2 linked regions of the Arabidopsis thaliana genome follow. The protein of the gene in region 2 interacts with the protein of the main gene of each other region in a biochemical or structural test. Each region holds a gene or a part of one and is shown on either strand. Other genes may lie near its edges.

Region 1 (6,639 bases), on a different chromosome or scaffold from region 2:
TAAGCTTATATGATCGGTTCTATATGTAATAAACTTATCTTTTGTTTCGGTTCCAGTTTCAATTCTTTCAATTCGGTTATTTTGTCCGGACCTAGTCCGAATCCTTTAATCTCGGTTTAATTTATAAGCCCAGGTCTAACGTGATCCACGTCACCAACGATACTGAACATAACTCCACATTAGCAATCCGATGCCTTCTCCAACATAAAAGAAAAACACTTACTTATCATCATCTATCAGCCGTAGATTAAGATATTTAGTATCCTCAATCTAACAAACACAAAATCACCACGTCATCAATCCTTGTCAAATTCTCTCATCCAATCAAATCCATTACTTCCTCCTTAATATCTTTCACCGCTTCATCATCTTCTTCATCATCATCAATCACAAAAATCCAAATCCCAAAACTTTCCCGAGAAAACTAAAAAAATGGCACCAAAAGCCGGAAAGAAACCAGCAGAGAAAAAGCCCGCAGAGAAAGCTCCAGCAGAAGAAGAGAAAGTAGCCGAAAAAGCACCAGCAGAGAAGAAACCAAAAGCCGGAAAAAAACTACCAAAAGAAGCAGTCACCGGAGGAGTCGAGAAGAAGAAGAAACGAGTCAAGAAAAGCACAGAGACATACAAGATCTACATCTTCAAGGTGTTGAAACAAGTTCATCCAGATATTGGAATCTCAAGTAAAGCTATGGGGATTATGAACAGTTTTATCAATGATATATTCGAGAAACTTGCGCAAGAAGCTTCAAAATTAGCTAGGTATAATAAGAAACCTACGATTACTTCTAGGGAGATTCAGACAGCTGTTAGACTAGTGTTACCTGGTGAACTTGCTAAGCATGCTGTTTCTGAAGGAACTAAGGCTGTTACTAAGTTTACTAGCTCTTAGGTTTAGCCGTTTAGGTTTCGAATCTTGGTTCGTTTTGATATGGAATCTGATGGTTTTTATGTAATTTGTTGAAGATTGTAATGGTGTTAATGTTTTCTTTTTAATTTGGATTTTGTGTTTAGTGACTTGGGATTCTACAAGAAGTTTGATATTTATGAATGTTAAATTAAAATTTGGATTTTGGTGGATGATTTTGTACGATGAATCGGTAATTTTGTTGTGAATTATTCTTGAGCTTAGCTTTTGTTTATTCACCTTAGAAATGATTGATCAACTAATCATCGAACAGGTTATAACGGATGATGACGAGTCTTTTATCAGCTTAGAGACAAATTTCTTTCCTGATTTAGTTATTTTGACAATAACTTGGTACACAAACTATTACTTATAGGTTTAGTAAAATACATCTACACTGAGGATAATATGGCTGGAATGTGTTTTTTGGTTTCTTGATTCCGTTTTTTTTTTTTTTTGGACTTTTGTGCTAGTGATTCAATCAAACCCTTGTTTATGCTCTGGATTATCGCATTTCTTTTTTATGTGTGATTAGAGTATTGCATCATTTTATATCTTGAAGAAAGAGGATCATGCCAAAACCAACCTTGCTTTTGACACTAAATCAAACAAATCATCGAACCATTTCCATTTGGGTTTACAATCCAGTAACCGATTCACCTTTGCATTGTTCCAACCCTAAAATGTTCATTATCTGACAATCTCATATTACTAAAATTAAATAATTTGAGATTCATACGTGTATTTGCACACGGGTTCTTCTCTTGGGTCGTCACATGACGCGAGTTCTTAATTGATTCTGAAATAATAAATTAAGAAGCCATTGTTTCGAATCCTATAACTGCCTTAACGGTGGATATTTCTCTCTTAGTTAGGTGTTTGTTCATTAAAACCCGGTCACAATAATTTTAATTAAATTTGTATTAACTAAGAAAATGGTAAATCCGTAATTATAAAAAAAGTTCATGAAAACGTGTAAGAGTCCTCTCTCCCACTCTTCTTCGTCACATTGTATAATCCCAAAACTAACTCAAAATCTTTTTAACTTCACACACACAAAACTAAACACTTCTATAATTTTGATTCTTTCAATGGAACCAATTCTTGAAAAAACCTCAACACGTTGGGAAGTTCTTGTTCAAACAGCAACATGGACAATTCTCCTAATGATCACAGTGGCTTTGGCTTCATTTGCTCCGGAGATGGCGTTTGTGTCGAAATTAAAGTCATCTTCCGATGGGTTCGTTAGGATTCCGATGGATTTACCGGGAGAAATGTTAATCTTGCCGTCAGAAATGGTGAAGAATTCATATTTAGACGTTTTTTTACCAACGATATTCGCAGGAGTTATGGTCATTGCTTCTGTTTCTTTATTACGATCATGTTTTGGTATTGAAGGTGTTGTAGAAGAAATCGAAGAACAATGTTGATGACATTTTCGTCATATCTATGGGTTATATGTATGTAATTGATATTAATTAATCAATAAGGGTCCTTAGCTCAGTGGTAGAGCAATTGACTGCAGATCAATAGGTCACCGGTTCGAATCCGGTAGGGCCCTTTCTTTTTTGTTTTAGAAACTGTTTTCTTGTTTATATTAACCGTTCATTTTATTTGATCTGACGGTGATGAATGTATCGTTACAAATATGTGTTGGATCGATGACGTGTCATTAGATTTCACAAAACTCTGAATAATTTTCACAACAAATTCTTACACTAGGGAATGCGAAAATGATTTTTTGCAAGAAATATTATAAGCCAATTAAGTGTATGAATCTTATATATAAAGCTAAGAACTTTAAAACGCTCACATTGAGTCCATATTTGTCATTCGATTCTTATACCTCTAAACTTTAAATTGCTCACATTTAGTCCTTATTTGTTTTTCAATCTTCAAAAACATAGTTCAATCAATTCCTTTGATTAGTTTTCGATTGATAATCCTTTACCATGAATTTCAGAGATTAAAGAGTAATTAGAGCAAATGGTACTTATCATTAATCCATTACAATGCTGCCCTAATTACAACACAAAACGAAACCCTAAAATTCAACCCAATTTCTGGAATTTCTTGATCGCAAGACTTAAATCATCATCATTCACCAGAAAACCCAGATCTCAAATTGATCAACCACCAAATCCATATAGAGTTCTTCCTTGTCTCTTCAAGGCATAAACAACATCCATAGCAGTCACCGTCTTCCTCCTCGCATGCTCAGTGTAAGTAACAGCATCTCTAATCACATTCTCCAGAAAAATCTTCAACACACCTCTCGTTTCTTCATAGATCAATCCACTGATTCTCTTCACACCTCCTCTACGAGCAAGACGACGAATCGCTGGCTTTGTGATTCCTTGAATGTTGTCTCTTAGAACCTTTCTGTGTCTCTTTGCTCCTCCTTTGCCTAACCCTTTTCCTCCTTTTCCTCTTCCTGACATTTTTGTTTTTCCAGAAAGTTTTAAGATTTGAGTTTTCTGATGAGTAGAGAAGAATTTATTTTTTATTTATAAAGAAGATTGTTTGGGTTAGAAAATGAATCGTGACCGTTCGTTTTATTGTTTGATCGGACGGTCAAAGATAACGATCCGTGAGAAAGGTTTATGAGATATATGGATCCTTGATTATTAATGAATCGACGGTTGTAGATTGGGTTATTATGTTAGTCACGGATTGTGGATTTTTGATTTTTCCTTTTGAACCAAGTGAGTCAACCGGACCGGTTATATGTACTAAATTACAATGGATATCGAAAATAATTAGTATAACTATGGAGTATATTTTACTTTTACTTTTCAGCTACCATAAAAAAAGGTAAATTCTCAGATCTCTTTTTTTACTATCCATATATTTTAAAAAATTTAAAAATTGTTTTTTTACATTATTATTATTTGGACAAGTTGAATGCACTTGGAAAAAAAAAAAAAACATATTCTACTATAAGGGTTTGAATCCAAATGTGGTATAGTGGATATGTTGAACATAACTCCATTGAATTAATAGAAACAATTACTGTGTACTAACCGTAAGAAGAGACGAGACTCTATTTTTGTTGGAATGTTCTGGTTTGAAGCATTTTTACAGGACAACGTAAGGATGTGTGCTTTAGCTAGAATGAAGCAATGTCGTTGTAAGGAGGTGACGATTATTATTCTAACTGAAAACCATATTGTTATAAAGCCCTTGAGCTCCAAAGCTCTTGTATATCTAGTCTTTTTGTTTTCTCCTTTTTTTCTATAACTCAAAAACTCCACTGATGGTAAATTACAAGGTGTTGTTCTTGCTGAAATGTACTAGGATCATATCGATCTCGAAAAACTCGTAAAACGTGTGTTCTTGATTTAATCTCCAAAGTGAATACCATGAGTGTTTGTCATAGAATTCTCAACAAGTTGAAGACTTATCTAAATCTTGAAGAATGAACTCAAAATTTCTGTTATAAGATTTCTTTCAACTACAAAATGATATGCAAAATATTGGTATTAGCTTCATACCATAACTAGACGCACAAATCTTGATGAAAGAAACTTGCAGCCAAGAAATTCCTTCATGAATCGCATTCAACACAAAGCTCATCAAAGATCAAAACTCTGCTCTTCTCCAATGGTTTTTTCTTGCAAAGTCAACTTGTTAAGGTATATTTGGATCGGTCCTTTACCAAAATGAAAGAAAAAAACTATTCCGCTGCCGGGTTTGAACCCAGATTTCATCATTGAAATAAACATGTGTGCTACAGCGGATTGGTTGAAAGTATCTCCAATTAACTAGTATATACCCTGTCTAATTAATACTCTCTACCTATCACGTGTTAAGACCGAACACATATTAAGAGAAAGAGAGGAGAGCCACTAGTTTTGTTTAAGTGTTCTCTTAACAATGTGTGTTCTTGATTCAATCTTTTAAAAAAATGGTGTGAGTGATATATAATGTGGTTCTTTGATTGTACCAATTGACATATACTAGATTCATAAATCAGAAACTCAAACAAATACTCAGATTAAACACCACTATTAACTATTATCCGTTAATTTGACAAAAGAGTTTTGACTATCCCAATTTTCACAAGATATATGACTCATTCTGTCAACTAAGCACAAATCATCGTAATAACATCTTAGTAACAACATGTTAGTCGTATTTGGAAGAGATAAGCACTATCTTGATGGATTTAGTTGGTCCCACACTAAATCCGGAAATTATACAATTAAATCCGGGTATTGGGCTGCGCGAGATTTGTCTCGTCCTACTTGTGACCTCCCTTTTTAGGGACCGAGTGTTTTTGCACTTCAGGCACAAGTATGGAAGCTTAAAACTACGCGAAACCTTATGCATTTTGCGTGGCAATGTATCACGGGGTGTCTAGCCACTTGTCAAAGACTTGTCTACCGACATATTGGCACAGATAAAGGATGTCCTCGTTGCGGAGCGGAAGAGGAGACTATTAATCACATCCTTTTTCATTGTCCGCATTCCAGACAGATTTGGGCATTGTCACCTATTCCCACTTCAGGGCACCTCTTCCCTAGGAGCTCCCTCTTCTATAATTTTGATTTTCTCTTCTGGCGGGGCAAGGAATTCGGAATAGGAGAGGATGTTCTTGAACTCTTTCCATGGATACTTTGGTATATATGGAAAAGTCGTAATCGATTTTTGTTCGAGAATTTTAAAGAACCTCCTTTGGAGACTTTGGCCTTGGTGATCAAAGAGGCAATTGCCTGAAAACAAGCAAACCAAAAAGAAGTAGCCATCACAGAGTCTATTTCACTTCCGGTTCTGGCACATCTCCCTCCCCCTAGGACTTCTGAGTGTCAGTTTGATGCTTCTTGGCATTTGGAGGATACTCTGAGTGGACATGGATGGATTTTAGTTGATCAAGATATTACTCTTCATCTTGGCCTCAAAAGTACGAAAAGAAGTCTATCACCGCTTCATGCGGAAGTGGACTCCTTGCTTTGGGCTATGAAGTGCATGATATCAATTGGCGAGACCTCTGGAGCCTTTGCATCTGATTGCTCCGATTTGATATCTCTTCTCGATAACCAAGAAGAATGGCCAACTTTTGCAGCGGAATTGGCCTCTTTTCGATCTCTTATTGTTTTTTTTCCTTCTTTTCGTATTAGATTTATTCCTCGTAGTTTTAACACTTGAGCAGACCTTTTAGCCAAAAAAGCTAGGACTAGAAATATTCTTTTTTCCCATGTAAGCAAGTCGGTTCCTGAATGGCTCTCCCTAGCGGATAGCGTCTTTCCGATAACTTAATAAAAATGGTGTTTGACGGAAAAAAAAAAAAAAAAAAAGGCACTATCTTGATATTAGCTTCATACTGTGACTAAAAGTACAATTCTTGAAGCAACTTGGAACAATAGATTTCTTCTTGAATCTCCTTCTTAGAAACTCTGCCCCTAATCCAATAATTTCTTCTTAGAAAGTCAACTTAGACAAGCATAATCAATTTTATAATAAAGACTGGTGTAGATGTTCAAATATCTTGAATATGTCCTTAATTTACCTGACTAAAAGAATTGGAAAAAAAAGTATTCCGCTGCCGGGGTTTGAACCCGGATTTCATGACATTGAAATTAACCGATGTGCTACAGCGGATCTGTTGAATATATTTCCATTCAATTAGTACATAGACTATAGAAAAAATAAGTGTGTTCTAACAATTAAGACAAGAGACTATAATTTTGTTGAAGTGTTCTGCTTTGTAGCATTTAAAGTGCTTTCAATGAAGCG
Region 2 (8,954 bases):
ACACAAGCATATCAAATTATTGTAGCTCTCAGTTAATATTGCACCTGATCGTCCAAGAAGTCTGTGGACTTGTAGCAAACTTGCATTCCATTTGATAATGTCAATTCTGTAACTCCAACTTCTGGATATTCAAGCTGGTGCGTAATATCCCTTCATTGAACATTAGTAACAGATGAGAAATAAGAAATGTAAAAACATACGCACGTCAGTTGAGCTCTGCCTACTTTTAGTTTTTAAAAAGAGCCATTTTAGTTCACTAAAAGACTTCCTAACTAGTCAGTTTCTATAAGAAATAGATAATAAAACAAAGGTATTTACTTTTGAAGATCTATACTCGGCCCAGAGCCCCAGACAATCTCTGAAACCTAAAGTCAATAGAACCAATATCTAAAAGTAATGAGGCTATTAAGAGTGGGTGACCTTGGCCTTTGCTTGTCAGTGAACCTATAGTTACAGTTCGGGGCTTACCCTGGAGTTGGCTTCTCACTGACAATTTCTTCTGGAATGTTTTCCTCATCCCATGGAGCAATCATCTTTTCTTCTTCCAGACTATTAACCTTTGAGACAACATTTCTCATATGATCAATAGTAGCAGCAGATTTAGGTTCCATTGATTTTATCACACAGCCGCATGATGTTCTTAACTTTTCAGAGTATCTGGACACATCTGACGCCGATATTTCTGCATCAGAGAGAACCCAATATAATTTATACGAGTTTAATAGTGAAAATGGAACTCGACTACATTATAAGAAGCGTATGCATGTTCTCACGGGGTAGAAGAGTCTTCTGAAGTTGTGCTTCGTATTCAATCCCAATAACAGGTTCCTTGTGAAGGAAATGCTGCAAGATGAAACACATATATAAACAAGATTTTGGTAGAGGGGGAAGACAAAAAGCTGGATATTAAAGTTCATCACATATTTTACCTGTATATATTCATCCCGCAAGCTAGTTGATTGGACCTGATCGCGTTCCAGATAAGCAGATTCAATCTCGGACATCATGAGAGCCCGAACAACAGATATTTCACGCTCTGAGAACCCATGAAGGCGTACCCTAGCAACCTAAAACACGAGAACCAATGAAGGGGCGGGACAAGGGAGTGACAAAGACTTGGACAAGAGGGAAAGGAGAAGAGACCTCGAGAAGCATAGACTCTAGGGATGCAAGAGTTCCTTTCTCTTTACAAGACGAACTCATTATATAGGCCTTCAAAGGGCTCACCAGGACATCAGCAGCAACAGAACACGCAAAAAATGGAGGGTCCTTCCTACGAGATATTTTGAAGAGTCTCTGGTTTAGAGCATGTAGAAACATTGATTCTGCAAGCATATCCCTATAATCTTTCACTGTCTTCAGATCACTTACAGGCATCTTATAGCTGATCATTACTGCAGACTACAAGAAAAAAAAACACAAAAGAAGCTTAGGAGTTGACATCGGGATAATACAGGAAGACGTTTGGAGAGTTAAATTTGACTTACCCCAGCTGCCTCTGACTCAACAAAGCAAGAAAACCGCGTCTCTTCATGAGAAGGAACAGGAAACACTGGTATCTGTGGAGGCTCGCTACTTGATCTTTTATCCTCAAAATGTGTCTTTATCAAATCAACTACAGTCTAGAAACAAGGATTATCAACAAACTCTAACAGTACAACATAATCATAGTCATAAACTAAAATAGTAGTACCTTTGTATCTGGAAAATCTCCAACAGCCACAACTGCCATATTGCATAAATGATACCACTTCTGGTAAAATTGCTTCACAGTTGCAGCAGGAACAGATCGAATCACTTTCTCCAACCCAATGGGTAAACGTTCAGCATACTGCAGTTAAATGAAAGTCTTTTTTAAGAAAACATTGGCCTCTCTCTTAAACTAGACAACTGATTAACAAAAGACCTCACATACCTTTGAACCTTCCATCATCAGCTGCCAATGTGAATCTTGCATCCTTCCAGTAGCATTCCGATTCCCTCGGTATTCTTCCATAACAGCCCCTCTTTCTTTCTCTAAATCTTCCTTTGAGACTCGAATCTAAAAACACCGTGTAACTAATTTCTTATGGAAAGAAAAAAATAAAGTAACAAAAAGGAGGAGACAGAGTCACAGAGACATTACCTCGGAGCTAAACTCTGCTAAAATGGAAATAGCCTGAGATAACAATTCAGGCTTATCAACAGGGACAAACAATTCATAAATAGTCTCATCCGCTGTAGTCATTGCGTTTTGACAGGGCCCAAACTCTGCTCCAATGCTCTCTAAGAACTTGACAATATCATGATTTGTATATCTCGTTGTAGCACTAAATGCAAGATGCTCTACTATATGAGCAACTCCACGCTGATCCTCCTCTTCCAAAACTGAACTGCCAATAAACCAAAAGGTGTGTCAGCATCATTTATAGCGCACAATTCTGTATTATCGAATATATCAATGCATGTCACAAATCTATTCATAAAAGATAACAAGAAGAATCATTAATCAAATCAAAGTTGGATCAACACTGAAGAGTGACCAAATAAATCAACATTCGACTCAATTTCCAGTAATTTCAATTCATAAGTTCAATTCAATTCAAATTGAAACCAAATGTGGCCAAAATAAAAAAAGAAGAAGAAGACATACCCGACTTTAACGGCGAGAGCTAGAGCGGCTCTCATTCTTGGTTTGGAGTTCCGGCGAACATAGTAGATGAGACCATTATCGAGTCTTCCATAATCAGCCCCGAATGGCTCAAGCTCGTTACCGAGTTCTTGTTCCATGTCCACACTCATCAGTTTCAGCGACCTGAAACCTTGTTTCCTCAACACCTTCGAGCTCTCTCCCGCTATCAAATCCATCTCTCACTCTCTCTCTCTCTCTCTCTGCCTCACTCTGTCAAAATCAAATTCGTTTATCAATAGAACACGAAAACAAATTCTTCTCCCTATAGAGACGGCACAAAAGTCCCACCCTTCGAGATTTGTTCTTCTTATGTTTGTTTTTTTGCCTTGACTAGTATCTTTCTCGGTTTGCCCGGTATATTTGGTTCAACCAGCGTCGGTTTATATCAAGTTTTTGCTAAAATTCAATCGGAATATTCCAATTTATGGTTCTGGATGTGACAACAAACATCATAACCGGAACTACATTAGTTTACTCAACTTCCATAACATAGCGCTACAAACAGATTTGTCCTTACTCCTTACAGAAGATCAACAAAGTTTGAGATTTCTAGTTTGATCATTCAACAAAAAACTTCCGATAAAAGACTCACAAAGTTTTGATTCCAATCAGACTTTTAGCGTTTGACCACTCTTGGAGACTTTCTCAGCAACCAACTTGATCTCACGAATCCTTTCCTCAACAAGTTGCTTCAGCTGCTGCTCTTGATCCGGTTTGTTTTCATCAACTTGAACATTGGTATTAGCCTCTTCTCCGTTTACAGACTTGAAAACCACAAACGATGCTTCTGGCTCGAAAGAGCTTGGAACATCAACGACTTGTTTCTTTGGAGTTTCTATATCTTTTCCCAGAATGTCGGTTCTCACATGGTTCGTGATGACTGATGTGTAATCTTCCATGTACTTGTCAATAGGATCAAGAGCAAGGTATATCAAAATCTCCCAGCATTTGAGGAACTGTTTCTTGTTGATCTTCAGAGATTCGCGGACTTTCTCAATGGCGTTCAGAGGCGGGGTGAATCGAGGTATCTGAGCTTTCTTTGATAGCTTTCCTTTTGTGAGAGTCTGAACAGCTGAATCAATGTCTGGTTTGATTGGATCGAAACTGCGCAAGCGGTTTATGTCTATGCAAGTGCGGATGTGTTGGAACTTTTCAGATGGCTCCTCAACTGTCAAATCGTAAACGTTTTCTGTTATGGCCACGTTGTTTACTACCTCCATAAGATAGCTTCCGAGTCCTTTTCCTTGGAAGGATGGTAAGACCAAGATCTGAAATCAAAACAACGAATCAGCAAAAACAGTCAGATCAAAAAGATTGTAAGTAGGATTGAGATCTCTGAGGAATATATTTAATACCTGGCTGAGTCGCATCCGCAGCCTGTCAGGATAACGATAGAACTTATAAATTGCGGTAAAGCCCACAATTCGATACAAAGGATCTTCTTTTTCCTCTTTCTTCTGGATTAAGAGATATAAATGCCAGTCAGGATCAGTGACATCAATCGGATTGCTGCCTGATCAAAAGAATGAGCCGGCATCTCGTTAGTACTAAGTTACTAACAAGAGAAATAAAATATTCAAGATGACTTAAAGGGTAGGTGGGTTATTACCATCGACAAAAAGAAGAACAAGGGGTACCAATCGGCTATAGAGGAGTCCAGCATTTGGAGAACCAATTTCCATCCGTATAACCTGAGGATAATCAACCTTTATAAGTTCTATTTGAAGCTGAAAACATCTCAAACTAATTTGCTCAAACTTATTAAGACTATAGGATACATGAATCATATTAAGCAAAAACTACCTGGGGATCAGAAGGAACCACTTCAGCATTCTTGCTGCTTCCATCTGTTGCTCCAGCATGCATTACCTCTCCATTCGAGACCATATTTCTAGAACAACAATCAATGACAAAGTTCAACATTATATTCAGAGACTACAAAGAGATCTATCGTAATTAAGTTGGGAACAAATTTGAGATGGTATGAAAGCAACCAGAAGGTATGCAGTTATGCACCTGATAAAATCTCTCTGTGTCGAAAAGGTTTGCAGAAACTCATCCTTGGTATCAACAATGGTCTCAGCAAATATGTTCTGGGTGGGTGAAATGAAACAGACAATCAGAATAATATAATGAGAGCAAAAGAAGCATGTGTCCAAGTTGATTGGTACCTGTAAAGCAGATTTGAGGTCCGTGATGCCTTTGTCTCCCTTCAAACACACAACAGAAAGTAACAGGATAGTGATGATTAGTCCCTTTAAAAGCCGTATAAAACCAATCCAACGAATAGCAAATACAATCAACACTTACGTTAATGGTGCTCTGGTATGTGATATCAGCATATGAATGTAATGAGATGCTATTGATCCATACATTTATCTGACATCAATAAATTGTGGACAAGAATATGTCAGAACAGAACCACAACAATGCGAAACCAGAAATTTAAGAAAGAGCAAAATAATCTAATGGTAGGAGGCCACATTACCTTCAAACCTTGGTAACCATAAATCTTGCCATCTCCATCAAAGAAATCATTCAAGTCAACTGGCTTCACGCTGGAAATATCAGAGGAATCAACTTCCTCTTTGCTTGAAACTAGAACATCACCCATCACGATTACCAAAACAGAAAACAAAATTATGTCACAGCAACCTAAGACACTTCACACAGAAAATACTTTTACAACTCATTGAACAAATATCAATTGGAAGAAAGATAAAACACATAAATCAACAGAAACTCAGTATACAGATCTGCTCTACATGTTCAATAACTGAAAACTACCTTTTGAAAGCAATAAAGTTCGCCGGAAAAGCCAAAAACTAGAAAAATTGAAGTAAGGCCAACTAATTTCACCAAAAAGGTCGAAAGCAGGAAACGTAACCCTAATTTTCGTACGAAACTATATCCCCAAAATCAACTTCAAATGATTTAAATCAAATACGCACCGAGATAAATTTTGATGCACTCGTTAGCCTCGACACCAGTATCTGCACATAAGAAAAATCAACGGATTAAAGAAAAATACGAAATCGGAGCTGGGAAAGTGGTAATCGCGAGTAAAGGAAAACAAACAAGAAGAAGAAATGACTCACCGGCGGGAGAAAATCCGACACGGCGACGCTTCTTAGGCTCGGTACCCGGACCGGCGGAGGCTTGCTGCTTCTGAACCATGGAGTCCCCGGCGAGTGCAAGGCGGGAAGAGAGTGAGACAAAGGCGGGAAAATTGGAGGGTTAATGGAAATGCGGAGAGAGCGATACACAAGAGAGTCAGTAAGCTTGTGGCTCTCTTTATGTAATTTTTACTGAGATCAATAGCAGATGGAGAAATACACACCACATATGACTTAGCAAGGCCTGTTAACGGCCCAAATGCAAGACCAATTCAAGTTTGTATTATTAGGTATTATTTATCTAATTAACGAAATATCAAATGAGGGCGTTTGGTCTAGTGGTATGATTCTCGCTTTGGGTGCGAGAGGTCCCGAGTTCGATTCTCGGAACGCCCCATTTGTATTTTTTATGTTCACACTCTTTTTGCCACTCTTTTTGCCAAATAGTCCATTTTTCCCAAAAGATCCATAACTTTAAGAACATGTAATCATTAACCAAAGTTAGTTATTCTTGGTGAATCTAGTTGACTTTGGGAGAGGAGAAAGAACCGATTTTAGTTATTCTTCCCCATTATTGAAGTCTAGTTCTCGGCCAAATATTCAACAACAAAAAATTGACTATTGTGAAAATTAGGCTTGTTTTGAAATAGGTCTAACTTAAGATATTAACCATAAATTCGGTTATTGTATTGTTGTTTGGTACAATGTAAACCGGTTACTAAACCGGAACACTCTACATATAAAGAGTGTTTCATGTAACAGAACAATTAAGAAGAATAACAAATTTTTCTCATCTTCTTCATTTCTCTGAATTCGTTCATCAACTATTATGGTATCAGAGTGATGGATCTCGAAGATTCATCCGATTCAACCTAAACTCTGAGTATCTTCGAGCTCTTGGATCTTCCAAACTCGTTGATTCTTTGTTTCTTCAATTTTCTACGTTTTCTGGAAAATTTCAGTTGTTTAGAGCTTCGTTGATCTTGCGATGGTTTCCGTAGAGAAATTGCGGCGTCGTACTAGAAGATCGAGCAAAACTTCAGCTGAGAAAACTCCAGATCGTGTTCAAGCTTCACCGATTCCACCGATTCCACCAATTTCGAATCCGTTTCAACAAAATTTCAATTCAAAACCATCGATCTATCCTTTACCACAGTTCGACTTCTCGGATGCTCATTATTCGCCATTCGCGCTCTCAAATGGTGAGTCCTGGGAATACACTTGTTTCTGAGGTACTTGATGGATCTAATTTCTCTTCTTGGAAGATTGCGATGTTTGTTTCTTTGAACGTTAAGAATAAGATTGCTTTTGTTGATGGAACTTTACCAAGACCTCCTGAATCTGATCCTAGCTTTAGAGTGTGGTCACGATGCAACAGTATGGTTAAATCTAGGATCCTTAATTCTGTTACAAAGCAGATCTATAAGAGTATACTTCGTTTCAATGATGCTGCAGAGATCTGGAAAGACTTGGATACTAGATTTCACATTACGAATTTGCCAAGGTCTTATCAGCTAACTCAGCAGATTTGGTCACTTCAAAGTTTTGCTTTCAATGATATCTCTTTCTCACCTTCGACTTTATGGTTACTATGTTCTCTAACGTCCTCTAGACAAGTGTTATCACAAAATACATGGATCATAGATAGTGGTGTTACTCATCATGTTTCTTATGATAGGAATATGTTTGAAAGCCTATCTGATGGTTTAAGATTAGTCCATTTCTAATTTTCTACTAAGATATATTTTTTCCAACTCAAAGTGAAAAAATTGCGAATAGTATAAATATACAATTGTTTATTAAATATTGATGTTCTTAATATTATTACATAAAAATAATTTTTTATATGTAATAGTATTTTTAGAAAATTTGGTTTCTCTTTTTTTTTTTAATAATAAAACTAAACAGTCTCTAAAAATTTATATTCGGTTTGCTTAATGTTAATTTTGTTGTTAACCAAAACTTCGCACCTCCCTTACTTATCCAATTATCAACATTTAATATTTGTTTACATTTATACAATTATCCAATTTATTTACAGCAATTTTTCCGAATTAGTATTCGACTGTTATTGGTGAAATTCGAGCTGGTTAATAATATTTATCAAAAATAAGTTTCTATAAATAAATCAAATTAAAAATGTTTCTTATTTTAAGTTTTTTGACCGTTCGCGTGTCATGTTACGACTACCGGCGTCTATGGAGAAATCACCGCAAAATTTATAGAGAGAGTAAAACGAAAGAGAAGAAAAAAAGGAAAACGAAAAAAAAACGTTTCTTTTTCCAGAGAGGTCTTAAGAGAGAGGAGAGAGAAAAGGCATCGCTTTGTATATAAGCTAAAGAAAAGCCAAAAAACAATCTAGAGGTTGGGAGAAGAAGAAGAAGAAAAGAGAAGAAGCTCTTGTTATCCCGGCGTTCTTAAAACAACGACGGCGACGGTGACGGCTAAGCGGAAGAGCTTTTGTTGCCAATGACGGACTCTTACGGCGCCGTCTCCGTCGACGTTGGAACAATCTATCTTGGTGGCAAGGTTTCATTCTTTAACCTTTGAACTCGGATCCGAATAAAGCTTTGATTTTTGTTTCTGGGTTTATCTTAAACTTGCTTAAATCTAATCTTTCTGTTGATTTGGGGAAGAACAGACATGTGGGCATTGTTAGATTCATTTGTTTTTGTAAAAAAAAGACTCATCTTTTGTTTGAATCAAATGTTCTTGGAGAAATTCTTTGCTTGTGGATTTGTGAAACTTCTTTTATTATTATGATTCATTTCCAGATGGGATTATTCTTGGGATCTTCTTCTTCTCTCTATTCAAAGATATCTTCTTCTTATTATTATTTTGTATTCCTTATTCTTTGTCTTATTGCCTTTTGATTTTTTTATCTTATAGAAAAAAGAAAAGAAAATGCCAGCTGTTTTTGTCTACCATTAACCTTTTGTTTAATAAGACTAATGCTTCTTTATTATCTCATTAAGACTCATATTAGCTCATCTTTTTTAAACTGTCATTCCCTTTTTATTAAAAAAAAACCACAATGATTAGAATTAGGCCATTTCTCTTTGGTTGTTGATGATCAAGTTTTTGGTTTTGTTTTTTTGCCCTTAAAAGTAGTAAAGCTGCACATGGAAAAGCTTTAACAGAGATGTTTTCTTTTTTGTGTGTGTGTT

The links. Proteins that work in one complex are often made in the same cells at the same time.
Region 1: of the proteins of HAG2 (region 2) and HIS4, one has a biochemical effect on the other in vitro, tested with the Arabidopsis thaliana proteins (one study listed by BioGRID).

What each region holds. Positions count from the first base shown.
Region 1 is NC_003071.7:12,326,611-12,333,249, forward strand, and holds HIS4 (histone H4), read right to left. Parts: upstream 3,450-6,639; 5' UTR 3,345-3,449; coding exon 3,033-3,344; 3' UTR 2,735-3,032; downstream 1-2,734. Other genes in the region: AT2G28720 (Histone superfamily protein), read left to right, coding at 433-888; AT2G28725 (forkhead box protein G1), read left to right, coding at 1,995-2,333. UniProt on the Arabidopsis thaliana protein: Core component of nucleosome. Nucleosomes wrap and compact DNA into chromatin, limiting DNA accessibility to the cellular machineries which require DNA as a template.
Region 2 is NC_003076.8:22,949,730-22,958,683, forward strand, and holds HAG2 (histone acetyltransferase of the GNAT family 2), read right to left. Parts: upstream 6,011-8,954; 5' UTR 5,849-6,010; coding exon 5,770-5,848; intron 5,665-5,769; coding exon 5,623-5,664; exon of another isoform or gene 5,286-5,622; coding exon of another isoform or gene 5,270-5,285; coding exon 5,160-5,269; intron 5,051-5,159; coding exon 4,982-5,050; intron 4,882-4,981; coding exon 4,843-4,881; intron 4,765-4,842; coding exon 4,688-4,764; intron 4,563-4,687; coding exon 4,475-4,562; intron 4,363-4,474; coding exon 4,281-4,362; intron 4,185-4,280; coding exon 4,027-4,184; intron 3,940-4,026; coding exon 3,280-3,939; 3' UTR 3,038-3,279; downstream 1-3,037. Other genes in the region: AT5G56730 (Insulinase (Peptidase family M16) protein), read right to left, coding at 45-150, 469-682, 774-843, 930-1,067, 1,144-1,401, 1,488-1,622, 1,694-1,831, 1,916-2,041 and 2 more; NDL1 (N-MYC downregulated-like 1), read left to right, coding at 8,257-8,316. UniProt on the Arabidopsis thaliana protein: Acetylates soluble but not nucleosomal H4. Acetylates 'Lys-12' of histone H4.